2 linked regions of the Mytilus edulis genome follow. Each later gene encodes a partner of the first gene's protein in a complex. Links are inferred from orthologs where the notes say so. Each region holds a gene or a part of one and is shown on either strand. Other genes may lie near its edges. The genes, in order: origin recognition complex subunit 3-like and origin recognition complex subunit 5-like.

Region 1 (9,930 bases):
TTTAGAGGAGAATATTTTTTAAAGTTAGCAAATATGATGAACAAATTGTGAAAAATTGTCATTAAAGGACAATAACCCCTTAAGGGGTCAATTGACAATTTTGGTCATATTAACTTATTTGTAGATCTTACTTTGCTGATCATTTTTGCTCTTTACAGTTTATCTTTATCTATAATAATATTCAAGATAATGACCAAAAACTGCAAAATTTCCTTAAAATTACCAATTAAGTGGCAGCAACCCAACAATGGGTTGTTTGATTCATCTGAAAATTTCAGGGCTGATAGATCTTGACCTAATGAACATTTTTACACCATGTCAGATTTGCTTTAAATGCTTTAGTTTTTGAGATATAAGCCAAAAACTGCATTTGACCCCTATGTTCTATTTTAAGTAACGGCGGCCATGTTTTTTGACGGATCAAATATCGAAGCACAAACTTTGTGCAGGATAATCTAAGGAACAATCATGCTAAGTTTCATCCAAATCCATTCAGTAGTTTTAGAGAAGAAGATGTTTGAAAAATTGTTAACGACGACAGACGACGACGACGACGGACGCCAAGTGATGAGAAAAGCTCACATTTCCTTTTAGGAAAAGTGAGCTAAAAACTGCAAAATTTCCTTAAAATTGCCAATTCATCGGCAGCAACCTAGCAACGTGTCGTCCTATCCATCTGAATATTTCAGGGCAGATAGATTTTGACCTGATAAACAATTCAACCACAGTCAGATTTGATATTAATGCTTTGGTTTTTGACATTTTACCCTTATGTTCTATTTTTAGCCATGGCGGCCATTTTGGTTGGTTGGCCAGGTCACCGGACACAATTTTTAAACTAGATACCCCAATGATGGTTGTAGCCAAGTTTAGTTCAATTTGGCCCAGTAGTTTCAGAGGAGAAGATTTTTGTAAAAGATAACTAAGATTTATGAAAAATGGTTAAAAATTGACTATAAAGGACAATAACTCCTAAAGGGGTCAACTGACCATTTCAGTCATGTTGACTTATTTTTAGGTCTTACTTTGCTGAACATTTTTGCTGTTTACAGTTTATCTTTACCTGTAATAATATTCATGATAATAACCAAAAACAGCAAAATTTCCTTAAAATTTCCAATTCAGGGGCAGCAACCCAACAACGGGTTGTCCGATTCATCTGAAAATATTAGGGCAGATAGATCTTCACCTGATAATCAATTTTACCCATGTCAGATTTGCTCTAAATGCTTTGGTTTTTGAGTTATAAGCCAAAAACTGCATTTGACCCCATGTTCTATTTTTAGCAATGGCGACCATGTTTGTTGATAGATCAAAACTTCGGATACAATTTATAAACTAGATATCCTAAGGAACATTCAGTTAAAGTTTGGAAGTATTTGGCCTAGTAGGTTCAGAGGAGAAGATTCTTGAAATAGTTTAGGACGACAGACGATGGACGACGACGGACGCCAAGTGATGGCATAAGCTCACTTAGCTTGGCCCTTCAGGCCATGTGAGCTAAAAAGTGTTGAAAAATAATGCAAAGATTAAAAAGGGTAGCTTTATTCCTGTAAGAAAATCATCAGGGAGATGTAGGGTTGATGATATAATTGGTAAGGATGTAAATTTGTACAAACTATCATGTGAATTTGGCATATTGAACTCTTATGTTATGGGTGATATCGATCTTTTCCCACGCAAAATTGAAACTGCACATTGGAAAACAGAATGAAATTTATTGCATATTGCTGCAAAATAAGCAAGCAAGCAAGAGATGCAAATGCAAAGGAACATGCACAAACAAATTATACATGTAAAATTGTAAATGTAAAAAAATCTGATGTTCCTCCTAGCAGCAAGTGTCATGAGTGTCACCCAGGGCGGGATTGCCAAAATAGGATTTAGAGACAATTTAATACAGAATTATTTAATTTCAATTGATTTATTGTTAACTTATTCACTTTATTCATCAAACTGTAATAATATTAACTTGAAATACTCAATAAAAGTTTTTTTATTAATGTTTGTCTAAAATAAACCCATATGATCCAAATACATGTATGGTCCAGCTCATTCTAGACCGTATGAGTATACTTGTACGCCACGGTCCGACTGTATACTCATGTGGTCTGGAACATACATGTTGGTGACCTTCTGCCGTTGTTTTTTCTATGGTCGGGTTGTTGTCTCTTTGACACATTCCCCATTTCCATTCTCAATTTTATGTTCCAGACCATATGAGTATTTGGACCGTACGTGTACAGTCCAGACAGTATACGTATACCTGTACGGTCGGACCGTATAAGTATGCGCGTATGGACCATACATGTGATTGGATCATATGGGTTATATTTAAACAATTTTCCACAATCTTTATTTTTAGTTTTACAAATTTTTATTATTACAATTAGACAGATAAACTGAACAAACAAACAATTGAAATTTAACTTTGTTTAATTGCATATCTGAATCCTATTTTGGTACACTCGCCCAAGGTGACTTTATATTTTTTACATTTGAAAATGTACATGTCTGCAGTTCATGCATGTCCCTTTGCATTTGCATTTTTTTGTAAAGTTGCTAAACATTCTAAAACAACTGTCCTCCCATATTATGTTTACTTCAGATATCTTCAATTTCAGTGATCATAATTTAAATAATGTATAACTGATCGACATCATATAAATACAGGAGATTAACAGAGTTGATTAGCATGATTTTTTAAAATAGTTAGAATATAAAGTTTTTATTTCAACTACAATTGAACTTTTTCATATATTAATTTGAGAGTTAAGTTATGCTGATCTGTAATACGCATTAATTATAAATTTGTATCTAATAAACTTGACCAACTTCTCAATATTAGTGAGACTGTATGTGTACGGTCTGATCGTATAAGTATTTTGAAAAAGTACACATACGGTCTGGAACATAAATGCAAGTTGGTTACTGTTAGGGTAGTCCAAATAATTATGACGTCTGGCAAGGCTATTTTAATTTTTTCTGGGACGCCTTCCTACGACGTCATAACGCCGAAGCCATTTTTTAGGTCTGGAGTTTGAGAGCAAATTTTGGGGGGAATTCCGGATAATGTAAATGAAATGTTCTGGGAATTCGGGTCTGTCAAATTTTACCGATTTTAATATTTTATATTCACCGGAAGTCACGTTTGTCACGTTTTTTTGGTAATTGTGGGAAATCTCTCTGAAACAATATAAATATTTGCCCACTTGAAATGGAATTGCATCTTATTTTATCATTACTTTTGGATATTTCTGGAAATATTTTACATAAATCAGCACAAAAAAGGTAGGACTTTGTAATAACGTAAAAATTTCTAACCAGCAATGAAAATTTCAGGTCAAAATAAGGTTTTAAAGTTCCCCCCAAAATTTGCTCTCAAACTCCAAACATAAAAAATGGCTTCGGCGTTATGACGTCGTAGGAAGGCGTCCCAGAAAAAATTAAAATAGCCTTGCCAGACGTCATAATTATTTGGACTACTGTTAGGGTGTCTATTCTGCTAGCCTACACAATAATGTCATGCTCTAATTTTCAGCAAATTGATTTGATTTAATAAATCCTTCACAATAAATCTAGACTACTCTAGAACAGTTGTAGGATATCTGGACTCAAAAAATTGATTATGAATAGAAATATAAAGTAGAAACAAGTGCTTTTTGTAGAAAATAAATAACAAATAATAAACTATTTGATATATTTCAATCATGATAATAAAAAATAAGTAAGCTGTGATGAGAATTTCACTATCATTAATTAATATACTTTTGAAACTGAAGACCCAGTGTCCATGTCAACAGTTTATGGTATTTACTAAAAAAAATTAAGCCTTTTCTGTTTTCTTGCAATCATACATTTTGCGGGAGAATTCAATATACAGGCTCTGTCAATAATGTTTCCTTGGAGAATTACCAAAAATACAACTAATCACCAAACACAATTTCAAGAGAGTTAACACTGTAAACACGTACCAAAAATTAATTACAACTTAATGATGACACATACATGAAACCTCTATTTTCAGACGCATTTGCAGGAGACCTTTGAAAAATGCAAAAGTAATACCAGAGACATATATACACATATAAGTTTCTGGTAATACTTTCTAAAAGGAGGGATTTTACGAGTTGTATTTTCTGTGTGTTTTTTTTTTACATATATATATAATTAATGATAAATTCTTTATTTAACGAAGGTAACTCCTTTAACATGCAATTGTTAATCTCATACAAGGCCTTAACACATTTAAATGAACAATTCATATAACAATCAATGCATATTGCACAATCAATAGATATGTACACAATTACAAATTACAAATATATATCTATGCAAGCATGAAATCAGACTGTACAGAACTAGCATGGCAAGAATGTCATAAAAAAACGTTTGTCTACTCATTTTGTTTTGTGATCAAGAGATTAGCACATTTCATCTTAAAGCTTTCTATAAGTCTTTTCAAAATCCTTTATATCATTTGGCAAACAGTTGAATATGGCCAACTCTCAGGTTACTCCTGTCAGCACTCTGATAACTGTCGGAGAGTTCGAACCAAGAACCTGGTTGAAGACCCCTTTATTTAGCTAGGCAGAAATAAAAACTAGAAGCTTTCCATAGTTTATAAGTGAATAATAATTTGACCAAAGTCATGGCAAAATATTCTGTTAGTTGATTGTGGCCAATGGTCCATTATCCGGTAGAAGTTGAAGACAACTGAGATCAACGATTTTGTAAAGCAAGTAAAAATTCACATAAAAGTAACAAAATTCAATTTGTCATTCGAAGTCTTGTCTTGATGCATTATAATGCAAAACAGACGAATGACATCTTGTGTAGATACAATAAAATGCAAGACAGTATCATCTTCTCTAAGGTGAAAACAGTCAAGAATACGTACTGCATTGATGTAACCAGACTATGATCTTCGCTAACCAAGGGTTACGATCCGGTTTTCCTTATCTCCACGGTGACGATGGACCAGACTGAAGCTCTTCATGAACATCTAAAACTGGTCTCTTCTTTACAGTCTTCAATCTAAGCCCGAGAATTTGCATCAAAATGATGTTAACTTGATAATAAGTGAACTTATCTCCTGCACCACTTAGAAAACACAATATTTTCAAATTAAACTGTCACATCAATTATATTATGTTAGTTCACAGATGTCACATGGTTTTTAGGTGGCAATTACAAGAAGAGATAAAAAATAAATACACAATACCAATCAAGAAATGAATCTTTTTTTTTCTTTATATGTGATTTTGGTTTTTTTTACAAAATTTATTTTTTTCAATAAATTGCAAGATTAAGATATCAAAAAAAAAATACATATTTAAAAATAATTAGGTTTTCAAATTAATCTTAAAAGTCAGGATAAACAACATCACAGAATATTTCCAAAATAAGAATTAAACACCAAAAATAAAGGAGGAGTGTCAACCCCACATGTGCCTGTGCATTTTCCTTTTTAAAGTTTTAAAGTTTAACAATTTTGTGTTTTAAACATCTGTTTGTTGTTATAATATCAGTCGCCTTATCTGTACGAAATGACAGATTTATAGCCCTTCGGCTTATACATTTTATAATTGAGAGAAGATATGAAATTTTCACTTTCTTGTGCATGGATGTTGGACTGAATTTTGTCATTATAAATGCAAATTTTCTGTTTATACTAGTATTACATATTTCAACTATAAAGGAATGGAAAAAAAATATCGTATGGACATAGTGGCTAGACATGCAATTTATTTAGATTATGCTTCATGAAAAAGTTTTTTTTTACCTTCGAAACTTTGAACATGCTTATTTTTTTCAGAACTTTCTATTGAGTCAATATAGCTTTAATATGATTTGATTGACAATAATAAAATTCGAAATTTTGATAACTTTCCTCATGACACATAAAGACAGATTTCCTCTGATGAATACTTCGTTGGGGACTTGTTTCAAATACCACCCAACGCAAAAAAAAACATGGTAAGACGTTAGAATATAAATCTAGTAGGAAGTTGATGTACCAAATTTCGCAGATTTTATGTGCAATTTTACAACGGAACATAGGAAAATGCATTTTATTCAATCTCAATGTTGCGCCGGACATGCAATTATTTAATGTAAAAGTAAGATATGTGTGATCAATAAAATAAACGTATGGTGCAAACATTTATACTTAACTTAAAATAAGAAAAACATGTCAAGGGCTTTCTGTAGACGTATGCATGTTGGTGGGTTTATTTTGTATAGGCGAATTGTTGCTGTTCTAAAATAATATCATAACGAAATTATTTAATTTTGGATGTAACGCGTCTTCTGATTGGCTGACGTTATTTTGTTATCAGCCCATAGACATAATTTAGTCATGTGACCGTGACGTCATCAACGTTTTTCATGGTTTTCTACGGTAAAACTGTTTAAAATGAATTTAGAATTAAATTATAAGAAATGACTGTAATATTTTTCTGTCTATTTCGAAATAACACGCACGTTATTCAGTGTGCACCACATTTTTTTTATGTTATTTCTTCATAGACAGAAAAAATATTACAGTCATTCCTTAAATGTTAATCCAATCATTAACGTGCGTAATGTCTACATATTTCATTTGCTCATTTTTAGAAGATGACTGTCTTATGGTGATGTTACTGTAGATTTTACCTTTTCCGGTTAATACTTCATCTGTTCAGTGATATTTACTGTGAACATTTTGTGAACATTTAAATCTATTAACCTATCTTTAAAAATATGTGCATCATCAGTAATGTCAGGAACATATATATTAACTTATAAGTTAGATATACTATTCCGAGGTAATGTCAAATAATAAAAAAATACAAAATATTTTCCCTTAGAAAACTTTGTAAGACTTTCTTTCCTCTCTTTGCTCAAAGAAGTGCAATTTGGATACTCTGACGAATCAAGATTTTTTCCTTAAAACATGGATAAATTAGAAATTGTATATTAAAAATTTCTATTGGTACGACTTTCATTTTTAATTTATGTTTTATGTGAAGTCGGTATTTAGGAAGCAGGCTGTATGTTGTATTCGAAACTTTTAGTTTGGACTTCAGTGATTGTAAAAACGAACAATCTCGATAAAGTCTTAGTAGTCTGTAACAAAACATTTAATCATCTTCAAAGCGCTTTAAAGTAACATATATCAAGAATCAAAAGCAAGTTGATACTTGACGTTGAATTATATTCTGGAAAAAAGAAAAAAAATGTTTTTGCTTATACTAGTTCTAATTTTGGTGATTTTCTTCAATATTTTGTCGAATTTTACCCAGATAATTTCAAAACAAGTATGAATCAATCCATTTTGCATGCAATTTTCCTTCTTCTTTAATATATACAAATGCCTTTTGTAGGTTTATCATAACAAATGGACAAAAAAATGAAGACTGGCTATATTTACACATCTTAAACTACTCTAGAGTACAGTCTAACCTGTTTAGTTGGAAAGGTTTTAAGGCCTGGTATCAACTAGATATATAAAAGTTAAATGCATAATGTATTTCAGAAAGAAATTGGATTTTGATGGGCATTTTTTTGTTGTTCCTGTAGCCAGAAGGTGTAAAAATAAATGCACACCTGAATTGCTTTAGATACTGTACACTCAATACACCTTATCGCTATTTGTCCGCCATTACTGAAAATCACACAGGTTCCCGTAAAATTTTTACGTCTTAAAACCAAATATCTGACGTCCGAATGGAGAAGTGATTGTTGTATGCGTCAAAAGTTCAAGCGGCCGGGTCAGCAGGGATTAGTGATAAGGTGTATTGCACGCTTTAACTCACCTATAGTTGTAGATAACTAATGTCTGTCTATTGTCCATGTCAATCAATCAATTCAATACAATACAGTTGTTACCTGATCAAAGTTCTATCCAAACATAGTTTTTTTTTTATTTTTGTAAATTTTTCTTAATCAGCCATGGAAATATTTATATAAAGTACAGATCAGATGTGACCAGCTATGGCCGAAGACCATACAAAAAAAATAACTACAGTACAGATCAGGAGATGTAGGAATGGCCCAGGTGACAGAAGAATAATGATCACAGTGTGAATGATGTGCATTCTATGCTTATTAACAGACATTTGGTGAGATTCACACAGAAATGAAAAAAATGTTTATTTTATGTTTCAGCTGAGTAAGCAGATATACCCTGTTTGTGATACAGAACTGAATATAAGATCACAGATTAAAGATCTGAAGACAGAACAGGATGGTGTACAGATGGTGGATGAGTTTGCCAGACATGCAAAGATACAGAGGAAAATTGATAAATTATTATCTCAAGTTAAACAACAAAGTAATTTATCATTTTACAGCTTAACAAAAAATGTTAAGAAGCTTAAAATTTATTACCATAATGTTAAAATATATTTTGCAAATTATGAATCATTTATTGTTTATGAAAGCTATGTTACCAACCATAATTATAGAGGTCTTGGTTTTGCCTGAGGGAGTTGGAACCTTAGTTTCTTTATTATGTTTATATTTAATATGAGGCAGGCATTACCTGTAAATGGGGACGAAGTCTGTATGAATTATTTTTTTGTAACTTAAATATTTGTTTAAAAAAAAAGAAACGGAAATACCGTAACGTTTCCGATTTTGGTTCTGTTGTTAGGGATTTAGTTGTGACGTTATTTAAATTATGACGTCATATGCAATGTAAACAAAGAAACGCTATCATCAGGTAACGTATTTTCATACCAAGGAATTATTAAAAATGAAATTGGTATTGCACGTTCCTTCCTATTTTATACTAGACTGATAAATATATATTTTACTCAAAGTTTCATACAAACGAGACCGGAAAAAGGAAGTACATTGTACATTTCTGCGCAGGTCCGGGATTTCAAAACACGACAAAAAAAAATTGAACGATTTTGAGTTCATTAGTACAATGAAAAATTCAGGAAATTTTCCCGTATTTTTTTTTTTATTGAATTTTCTACTGTTATTGGGGACTCCGTCCCCATATAATTTCTAAATTTATCAATGGGGAATGGTATGTTATAAATCAGCACACATAACAACTGTTTTATATTTTGTGTAATTTCAACTGTAGATAGAAACAACAAATGTGCTATATAAATATAAGATATATGTGGTATGATTTGAATGCCAATGAGGCAACTCTCCATCCAAGTCACAATTTGTAAAAGTAAAGCATTATAGGTCAAAGTATATATATATTATAGGTCATATGGTTGGTTCAGAAGTAAAAATAACAACCGATTTATATTTTGTGTAATTTCAGCCTCAGATAGAAACAACAAATGTACTATGGTTGGTTTTGCTGTACAAATTGGCATCTATGTTTTACATGTAAGTATTTATGGATGTGCCTATGATAGTCTACATCTATGTTTTACATGTAAGTATTTATAGATGTGCCTATGATAGTCTACATCTATGTTTTACATGTAAGTATTTATGGATGTGCCTATGATAGTCTACATCTATGTTTTACATGTAAGTATTTATAGATGTGCCTATGATAGTCTACAAGTACAGGATTTCATCATTAATCTGAGTCTACAAATTTAATAGATTATAATTGAGCAAACGATTTAAGGAATCTTTTTATCATAATTTTTAATGAATTATAAAGAAGAGGTAAATTGTCTGCAGCTATAACAAACAAAAAATAAAGAGAAGTTTGAATGGAGAAATTGTCTTGAATATCCAGATTGAAGCTGGTGAATAAGCAACATAAATTCTTTTTATTTTTACCTTTAATAACACCATTATTTTGTTACAGGCATTAGTAATGATTTCATTAATGATATCCTACAGACAAGAACCATTATTACAGTTCCAACCAGAATGGTTCTATCCATTACAGAAAATAGTAGCATTTCCCACAGGTGTCTCAGGTACATTCATAACACAAGATATTATACTGGCAAAAAT
Region 2 (10,116 bases), on another chromosome or scaffold:
AAATTACATACATAGCAAGTCATGCGCACATACAATATAAATACAAAAAGTAGAAGTTCATACAGTACGTAAAACACAAGTTCTTAAACACATTTATTGAAGCATAATAATTACGGAATAAAACACAGGATCGAATGTAAAAAGGTTTACAACATATTAAAAAAAAAAAGCACACAGAGAATAGTTGAATAGCTATGAAGCAAAAAATCAAAGGTCTGAGAAGCACTACCGTAGAAATTAACAAAATAAAAAATGCCATATGCTGAAAACAAAGCATTAAACTTATAAAAGGAAGATATTTAACTAATTTTGCTGTCGAAGCATTTGTACTTATGAGCAACCAGATCGAGAATTTACCATGTTTGAAAAGTGCACATTTTTAGGCGGCCGATGATTTACAGAGTATATCTTAAGGTGGCTCGTGCATGGGTACAAAAATTTCAGAAAAAAATTAAACCTTTATTTTTTCATTACAAATTTTTTTAATTACACTATTAGTTATAACGTTATGATATGGTACAAAAATCAACCCTCCCCCCAAAAAAAAACCCGATTCGGTTTGGCTCCAGATGACTTTTAAAATGTTTTAATATATCATTGAAAAAGCTCCAAATTATCTCCCTTTGGTGCAAAAATGCCATTTCTTGGCATTAAATGTGAAACATCTTTTTTTACTCATCGTTGATCGATATTTTTTATCATTGTTTTCAAATAACTTACTTACTTACTTACTGCCCGGTATGTCATCGGCATGTAGGGCAGCAACAAAGGTTCTCCATTTCTGTCTGTCTTTGGCCATCTTTTCTACTGTTCCCCATGTATTATTCATGGTCTTCAGTTCTCCTTCTACAGTACGTCTCCATGTGTTCTTTGGTCTTCCTCGCTTACGCCTTCCTTCTGGAGTCCAATGTAGAGCTGTTCTAGTGATGGAATTTCTATCTCTTCTGATGACATGCCCAATCCATTTCCAACGCCTTCTCATTAATATTGTACCCATGCTATCTTGATGACACTGTCTCAAAAGGTCTTCATTAGATATTTTATTTGGCCAGAAAATACGTAGGATTCTTCTTAAGCTTTTGGTATGGAAAATTGACAGTTTGTTTAGATCTAATTCTGTCATCCTCCAGCATTCAGATCCGTATAGCAGAGTAGATAAAACACAACTCCTGTACAGTTTAAGTTTGGTCTTCTTACTGTACTGTGCTGATTTCCATACATTGTTTAATGATCTGAAAATATTTCTGGCTTTGTTTAATCTGTTCATAATGTCATTTCCTGCACCTCCATCGTTTCTTATTGTACTTCCTAGGTATGTAAATGTTTCTGTGATGGGAAGATCTTTTCCATCTACTAGGATAGGAGCTGGGTTATTGATGTTTAGGGTCATGACTTCTGTTTTGGTTTGGCTGATTTTAAGTCCAACTTGACTGGCAAATGTATTAAGGCGGTTTGTCTTCTTTTGTAAATGGTGGTGGGTGTGAGATAAAAGAGCAAGATCATCAGCAAAATCAAGATCTTCTAGTGTTGCTGAAAGGTTCCATCTTATTCCTCTTGGAGCATCTTCTGTTGTTTTTCTCATTACCCAGTCAATGACAACATTGAAAAGAAGAGAAGACATCACACATCCTTGCCTAACTCCTGTTTTTACCTCAAACCAGATGTTGCTATGCCCTACACTGCAAGTGAAATTGTTGTAAAAACTTTTGATAAGTTCAATTATATCTTTTGGAATTCCATATGCTCTTAGTATTCGCCACAAGGTCTTTCTGTTGATACTGTCAAAGGCCTTCTGGAAATCCACAAAGTTGATGTAAAGCTGCCTTTGCCATTCTGTACATTGTTCGATGATGTTGCGTAAAGCAAAAATTTGATCGATGCACCCTCTACCTTTACGGAATCCTGCTTGCTCTTCTCTTAGTTGTTTATCAATTGCATCTATTATTCTTTGGATAATAATTTTGGCCATGATTTTACTTGGAATTGACAGGAGGGTAATGCCTCGCCAATTGTTGCAATCGCTTAGAGCTCCTTTCTTGGCTAGCTTTATTATTATGCCTTTGGTCCAATCGTCTGGTATTATTTTTCCTTCCCATATTGATGTAAATAATGCTTGAAGAATTTCAGCTGCGAGTTCTGGGTCGACTTTGAAAAGTTCTGCATTCAGGTTGTCATGACCTGGTGATTTTCCATTTTTTAAAGATTTTATTACTTTTATTATTTCTTGTTTGTCTGGAAGGTTGATATTAATTTCCAAGTCTTGAACTGCCTCAATTACTATCGCTTCGTCACCTGGCGGTGGCCTGTTAAGTACTTCCTTAAAGTGTTCTGCCCATCTGGCTTTTTGCTCGTCTTCTGTTGTCAATAGCCTTCCATTTTTGTCTTTTATATGGACATCATTAGTGTTACGAAATTTACCACAGATTTCTCTTGTGATCTTGTAGATTTTTCCTTGTTCGCCCTTTTCTGCTGCTTCTTCTGCTTGTTTAGCAAGGTCTTCCATGTAAGCTCTTTTGTCTGCTCTAGCCATTCGCTTAACATTTTTGTCTAGTACTCTGTAGCTTGCTTTGTGTCTTTCTTGTAACCGTTCAGATTTTGTGTCTAGAATCTTCTTATTCATGTGACGTCTTTCTTCTATAACCTTCCATGTACCTGGTGTTATCCATTTCTTCATCGTTTTACCCTGTTTAAAACCCAAACATTCTTTGCTAGTTGTTTCGTAAATTTTTCTTATTTGATCCCATTTTGAGTTGACTTTTGTTGTTTCTGTCGGGATCATGTCAGGATTATCTGTAAGAGCTTGAAACTTATTTTTCAATTGGAGGATGAATGCAGTTTTTACTTTGTGATCTTGTAATTTTTCAATATCATATCTTGTGGGGACAAGTGTTTTACGTCCTGTACTTCTCAATTTCATCTTAATATTTGCAGTAACAAGGTGATGGTCACTACCAACATCTGCTCCCCTCTTGACTTTAACATCGAGTAATGAACGCCTCCAAGTACCATTTATCATAAGGTGGTCTATCTGGTTCTTATCCCTTCCATTTGGAGAACACCATGTTAATTTATGTATATCTTGATGTGAAAAGAGTGTTCCTCCTACTACCAAGTTGTAAGCTGCACATAATTCTGCTAGTCTTTCTCCATTATCATTTATAGTACCACATCCATGTTTACCTATTATTCTGTCCATATCAGTGTTGTTGTTTCCCACTTTGGCATTCAAATCACCCATCACCACCAATAGATCATGACGGGGTACCAATCTCACTTCAGCTTGTAGTTGTTCGTAAAAGGTGTCTTTCATAGCTTCATCACTGTCATTTGTTGGTGCATAGCATTGTATAAGGGTCATGTTGGTGTGCACTCCTTTAAATTTTGCTGTTATCAATCTACTATTGACAGGTTTCCATTCCATAAGTCTCTTCTCAGTGCCTTTCTTGAGGATGATGGCTACTCCTTCAAAATGATAGTTGTCATCTCTCCCTGAGTACAGAACTGTTTCTCCTGAATCTGTCTTTATCTTACCAGAACCTGTCCATCTACTCTCGCTAACTCCCAAAATGTGCAAATTATATCGCCTCATTTCTGATGTGACCTGTGCAAGTTTCCCAGTTTCATACATAGTACGTACGTTCCAGAATCCTATTCTGGTTTTTGCTTTAGCGCTCAGCACTTCATTCCTGCCAGCAGCTTCCTTGCGGCTTTCACCACTGGCAATCATACTATTTTCTTGAAGGCCTATTCGCACAGCGGTTGTGTTTGATTCCTTTGTTGCTGTTTCCGTAACTTAATTCTTTTTACAGGATAGAGTTGTTGGCCCTATGCCGAACCCCCTACTTGGAGGGCCAGGGATTTTTTGTCGAGGTTTCCTTCCTTTAGATAAGTTGCCGACCAAGGCTGACGAACCATTATCTGCCCTTTTTATATCAGAGTTTTCTTTCTCCTAGATAAATTACCTTCCTGGGTTAACGATCTTCATCTAACCGGCTATTTACCCATAGTTGGGGCAAGGTTAATGAGAGTAAGGGCGTGTCCACACGCCGGTGGGCCTACACTCTGCATCTTTAGGGCCCTTGCTGCTCCAAGATCCTCTACAGTAAAGCCTGAGATACTAGATCCCAGTTACCATGTGCTGTCGCGGGGAGGCACTGTAGAAGTCTTGACAGTGTAGAGGCTATGTACTGACAGGAGAGGCTTACTCACTCGGCTCTCTCTTCGCTCACATATGCAAGCTAGCCAGCGGCAGCTGCTTTTCATAAAAAAAACAACCACACTAGACGCATACTACTGCCCTGTGGAACAACCACCAGCACACATGTTTTCAAATAAGCTGTACATAAACTAAATAATTGTAAAATTTAAGCGATTTCTGTAATTATGTTATTTTTTTATTTCGATATTACCCGTCTATTTCTTCATTAGCTCAACAGAAAAAAAGGACATTAACAAAAATGTATGCTTATTCCGGAGGCAGATTGTGAGCTTAAATGAACGGTGGCCCCATTTTTTTATTTCATTTTTCTTTTAAGTATATGATAAAGTTCATTTATGAAAAAATATAGCGAAATCCTATATTAGAATTTTTTTTTTAATCAACCACTTTCTATATTAGAAAATGTCTGTACCAAGTCAGGAATATGACAGCTGTTATCCATTCGTTTTGGTGTGTTTGAGTTCAGTTTTATAGTGATTATACTTTTACATTGTTTTAGAAACGTGAGGAAGTTATATATATATATATATGGGCCTAAAAGTGGTACATAACAATTCGTTCCTTCAAAACATAGACAGTTTGCTTCATGGGATGATTCGCAACTGAAATTAAATCTTTAAGGAGGCTCGAGGGTATAAAAATTTCAGAAAAAAAATAAACATTTGTTTTTCATTACAAATTTTATTTATTACCTTTTGTAGTTGTTACTTTATCATATGGTACAAAAAACATTCAAAACAATTAATTCGTGTTGGCCCCAGATGACTTTTTAAATGTAAGCATCATTAAAAAAGTTCCAAATTATCTCCCTTTGGTGAAAAAATGCCATTTTTTGGCTTTAAATAAAGGCAACAGTAGTATACCGCTGTTCAAAACTCATAAATCCATGGACAAAAAACAAAATCGGGGTAACAAACTAAAACCGAGGGAAACGCATTTAATATAAGAGGAGAACAACGACATAACACTAAAATGTAACACACATAGACAAAATCCCACGAGAATAACAAATATAACATATATTTTTTAAAATTGAAATATCTCTTTTAACTCATCGGTGACCAGGCTATATTTTTTAATATAATTTCGATATATGCTGTACTTAAATTAAATTATTGCAAAATTTGAGCGATTTCTGTAATAAATTTCTTTTTTTTATTTCGATATTACTTTTATTTTTCCTATCAGTTCAACAGAAAAAAAAACCACTTTAACAAAGATGTATGCTTCTTTCCAGAGACATATATATATGTCTCTGTTCTTTCGAAGGCAGATTGTGAGCGCAAATGAACGGTGACCCCATTTTTTATTTTATTTTTCTATTAACTATAAGATAAAGTTCATTTATAGAAAAATATAGAGAAATCCTATTTAAATGATTTAGACCCGCGAACCCCCTTAAGTAAAGATTATCTGTAATATTAGTTTAGCTCAAGCCGATAGACATATAAGACGGAACAGTCATCTCGTCCGCTATTGACTCAGTGTTTTATAAGGATAATCTTTCGATAGTCATCGGAAATCATTAAAAAGATCCGAAATTTGGCGGGGAAATTTAATGAATTTTGACAACATTACCTGTTTAGAATTAGGTGACCGACATACAAGGTCCTTTTACTTCAATTATTTATTTATAAATTACATATGAAGAAAAAAATCTCTAGATGACAAAATTTATAACTTTTTCGTTACCAGTACCACACCGGCACACGGTCATGACAGTGTGCCTGTGTTGGTAACGAATTTTTTTTCTGGGAAGCCTTTCTACGACGTCATAATTATTTGGACTAGACAGTCACCGGCTTACTTGACACTGTCACAGACTACACATGAGAAACATTTTACATAGCATCTAACATTATAAACACTTAACTCGAAGCCCTGTTTTCATGTCTACCCGTCCCCTAGTCCAAATAATTATGACGTCTTGAAAGGCTATTATAATTTTTTTCTTTGACGCCTTACTTCGACGTCTAATTTTTTTCTTTGACGCCTTACTTCGACGTCGAAGTAAGGCGTCAAAGAAAAAAATTATAATAGCCTTTTAAGACGTCATAATTATTTGGACTACCCGTCCCCTAGTTGATCCGTCCTCAGGTCCTTCTGTTCTAAGTCTTCATTCCAAGTCAATCCGACCCACACTTTCAACATCATAACATGTAAAAAATTAAACTACTCAGTCTCATGATTATTGATGAACAAAAATCCCCAAAACTTTGGCAGATTCTGCTATGAAAGATATAATTCTGTGTCTTATGTATTTTTATTCCCCAAGTGTAGGGGCATTAAGTGTTACCCTTGTCAGTCCCGTTTTTCCTGTTGGTTCCAATCCAAAATTGGTTTCTGTTCTCTATGAACGAGTCTGCCTCAACCAAATGTTACAAAACTTGTACAGAATGCTTTCTTCCATAATTTACAGATCAAGTTCAAGTTCAAACTGTGGCGTCACTTGAACCTGTTCATGAGTAATCCTAATATACATGTAGGCCAAAAAAATAATACATGTGTTCCTGCTTAAGTTCTGAAAGAATTTAGGGTAGTTTACTTAGGCATGTTAGGTAGGTAGGCAATATCATTTTATTTTCCAAACATTTCTTAGCTGGATACTACTTGGGAACCAGTCTGACTCTAACGGTGCTTGTTCAAAATGCCCCAAAAAATTAAGGTATGCACTAAAAACTTGGGTAGGTAGGGTTAGGGGAAATACATGTATTATTTTTTTGGGCCTTATAAATATAAAAATTGCTGGCAATAAATACAGAGTACAGTAGACTCCGGCCAATCGGATACCCAAAATGTCAGCTAAAAATATCTGATATTGTCCGATATATTCAATTAGCCGATGAACGTATATTCCTCCGAGTTTTTTTTCAAAATTGACAGACACAACCCTAAGATACCAATAGCTATTATAGCTGCTTTATTAATGGAAATTTGTAACTAATCTCATTGTTTTTTCAGGTACAAGTTCGGATAATTCGGTTGATTGAGTAACAGATCAATCAGTTGATAATAATGTATTTTGTTTATCTGTCAGTCTATTGATTATTAATTATTAATTATGAGTTGATTATCTGAATAAAATATGTACCATTTAAATAATGTGACTTGTTGTTTTTGCGTGATTTGTTTCATTTGTGTGTTAAAACAGGTAAAAGCTAAAAATAGCTATGAATTCTCGGAAGTAGGCCACAGGTAAATTCTATTAATAGCTACGAATTCATGCCGACTATAAACTTCTACCTGTAATCGTACTCGGATCTAATTTTCTACATTTTTTTATTTATGAAATCCATTTCCAATTTCAAGTAATACAACTATGTTTATGATTATAAAATTGTAAAATTAATTTTGCTTTTCTATCTTCTCTGTCGTGGTTCAAAATAAAAGGCTGAATATTATGTAAATTAGGAAAATGGCGTACGTGTGTACAAGTTACATAATTCTATTTCACCTGGGACATGCTATTGACACACGATTCCTTGTTTTTACACGGGACTTCTATATATATTTTAATAAATTGTTGAGAAAGAGGTACATTTCATTCATATTTAATAAACATTGATGAACATCACGCACAGTTTATCATTTTGTCGTGTCATTGTTTGTGAAGTAAATGACAACGATCACATTTGGATAAACACATAACAAACACATCTTGGGCAGAATATAATATCAAATTCATAAAATAAACAAGACAATAAGAAAAAATATGTTTTATTTGACTATGAAAGATCGTTTTTATTAATAAAATGAAACATTTCTGTACTGAAGTTTTCTTAAACTTCGTAATGGCGTGACTTCCGGTTTCATTTCCTGTCAAAAAAAATATGAAACTATTTCAAAATATTCGATTGTACATGGTTTTCACACATTTTCCATGAATATTCCTATCCAATTAGCCGATATATTCTAATAACCGATATTCGATTATCCGATGTATTTTGACTGAAATGTATAGGGAATGGTTCGGTGTTTTGAAATAATATTACAATAGCCGATATATTCGATTAACCGATATCCGATTAGGTGGAGTCTACTGTACTTATAATTTATGGATATTCGATATCTTTATATTTAACATGTTTAAATAACAAGATATTTTTATACCATTATGATATATATAATAGATGTTTTATAAAGATATTTGATTTATTTGATCTAGCTATTAATACATTCCTTATGTTCAGTTGACACCTGTCAAATACTGCTCATTTGTTCTCCTTTTATGTAGAAGCTGCATCAGAAAATATGACAGAAGTAGACAACTTTAAAGAAGATCTCAACAAAACATTTCCATGCAGACAATCACAGATTAATTTGTTGCTGTCATTGTTTGGACAGGTAAGTGAAATGTTTTTTTACAAGTGTATACAGATGCAGATTACATAAAATGAAGATTACATAAAAAGGGTCCTAAATTTTAGTTTTCAAAAAAATGCAAGTTGTCCTGCTTTTTCCATGTCTATTTTAAAAAATAATATTCTTGGGTCAATTTAAACTCTACTTTGATAACTACTTTAAATATCTATTATATAGTTTTGAAGCTTGTGGTATCAAGTCATTTAATATGAGAAAGGCGCTACCTTGAATGCCAGCTTTATACCCAGACTATGTCCTTTATATATATATATATTGATTGATTATTGGTTGCCTAATGTCCAGTGGCAAATATTAATATTTCATACATGTTCAGGACGAATGTCCTACATATGATATAGTTTTTGTCTAAAATAAAATAATGAATTCAGATGGAAAATGTTTATGTATTGAATGATCATTGCACTTCAATACTTTGACAAAAGGCTGGAGGGGTATGGTATTTCTAGTTCAAAAGTCTTGAAAGGCTATTATATTATTTTTTTGACGCGTCGCAGGAAATCCTTTCTCAACGTGATAATTATGTTAATTAAATAAATACTATCATTAATTAACTATTTAATACTATTTTAGTGACATCTATTAGAAGTTGTTCTTTCTTGTTTGCTGCTTTTGGAATAAACAATACCAGCTTGATGATATATGATCTTATATTAATGTATTTTGTAATTTTAACAAAAACATCAGTACACATATGCCAGTTTGTTTATCTATGATTGCATATGAAGTTATTTTTAATTTTTAACAAAGACATCAGTACACATATGCCAGTTTGTTTATCTATGATTGAACTTATGTATATGAAGGTATTTTGTATTTTTGGAAAGTTTGCTATAGCTTGCTATTGCTACTTTCCTTAGGCGTCGGCCTCAAACTTCCGGTTGACAGATTATCGCATTATATTCTGCTCCGAGATAGTGTAGTACTAGTGTCTGAGTTCTGATACTTGGAAGATTCTTTAAAAATTTTAAGTTTCTACTGTTTTGACTGAAAAGAATACAGCTTGAATAAAAAAGAAATGAATGTTCACCGACGATTCAGATGAATTTAACTTCATTTTAAAAATGAGTATCACAAACACTACTTCGCGGATCTGCCATGCGCTGAAGAGAAAATCACAAGAAATCTACGCGAGATTGCGTTTTCATTCATTCATGAATATTTCATGAATGAAAATTTTCCCGCTCTACTTTTACCTGTTTACTACATGTACGTAGACGTGGTAAAATCCCGAGAGTATCGAAAGAATTGGGAATGACTGATTAAAATGCGAGAACAAGTTGACATTTTGACCAAGCCGTCGGATAATTGAAAAGTGATAAGTGATATAAACAAAACATAGGTGAAAGAATATAAAATACTCAATAATTAAAATTAAATTTTATGTCTAACGTCTCACGCCAAGGACGAGTAAAGGTAAATACCGAATTTGATAAAAAAAAAAATTTTAAAAATGCATTGTTTTTATCTAAACATCGATCGGAAGATTTTGATGCCAAAAGTCATTTGAAAACTTA

The links.
Region 2: the proteins of origin recognition complex subunit 3-like (region 1) and origin recognition complex subunit 5-like are in contact, whole or in part, in a crystal structure (PDB 4XGC), measured with the Drosophila melanogaster proteins. The link is inferred for Mytilus edulis from reciprocal best matches to the Drosophila melanogaster genes Orc3 and Orc5. Residues at the interface, in NP_476904.1 of Drosophila melanogaster: Ile105, Gln107, Leu140, Lys141, Val144, Cys183, Thr184, Met185, Lys186, Gln187, Glu213, Cys214, Asp222, Leu225, Ile226, His230, Ala243, Thr244, His250, Tyr255, Ser258, Ser259, Arg262, Leu263, Ala270, Pro272, His302, Ile303, Leu305, Tyr306; in NP_477132.1 of Drosophila melanogaster: Ile72, Glu73, Tyr75, Ile79, Glu82, Asp86, Asp94, Arg130, Tyr291, Met292, Arg293, Ile294, Glu295, Leu319, Glu320, Leu321, Pro322, Tyr323, Tyr324, Ala325, Asp383, Leu386, Ala387, Tyr390, Val397, Leu399, Thr400, Cys401, Asn402, Leu403.

What each region holds. Positions count from the first base shown.
Region 1 is NC_092353.1:2,483,647-2,493,576, forward strand, and holds the start of origin recognition complex subunit 3-like, read right to left. Parts: upstream 3,933-9,930; 5' UTR 3,796-3,932; coding exon 3,769-3,795; intron 1-3,768. Other genes in the region: guided entry of tail-anchored proteins factor 1-like, read left to right, coding at 7,221-7,301, 8,152-8,317, 9,275-9,342, 9,779-9,893.
Region 2 is NC_092344.1:67,508,480-67,518,595, forward strand, and holds the start of origin recognition complex subunit 5-like, read left to right. Parts: upstream 1-5,694; 5' UTR 5,695-5,827; intron 5,828-8,453; 5' UTR 8,454-8,470; coding exon 8,471-8,563; intron 8,564-10,116. UniProt on the Drosophila melanogaster protein: Component of the origin recognition complex (ORC) that binds origins of replication. DNA-binding is ATP-dependent, however specific DNA sequences that define origins of replication have not been identified so far.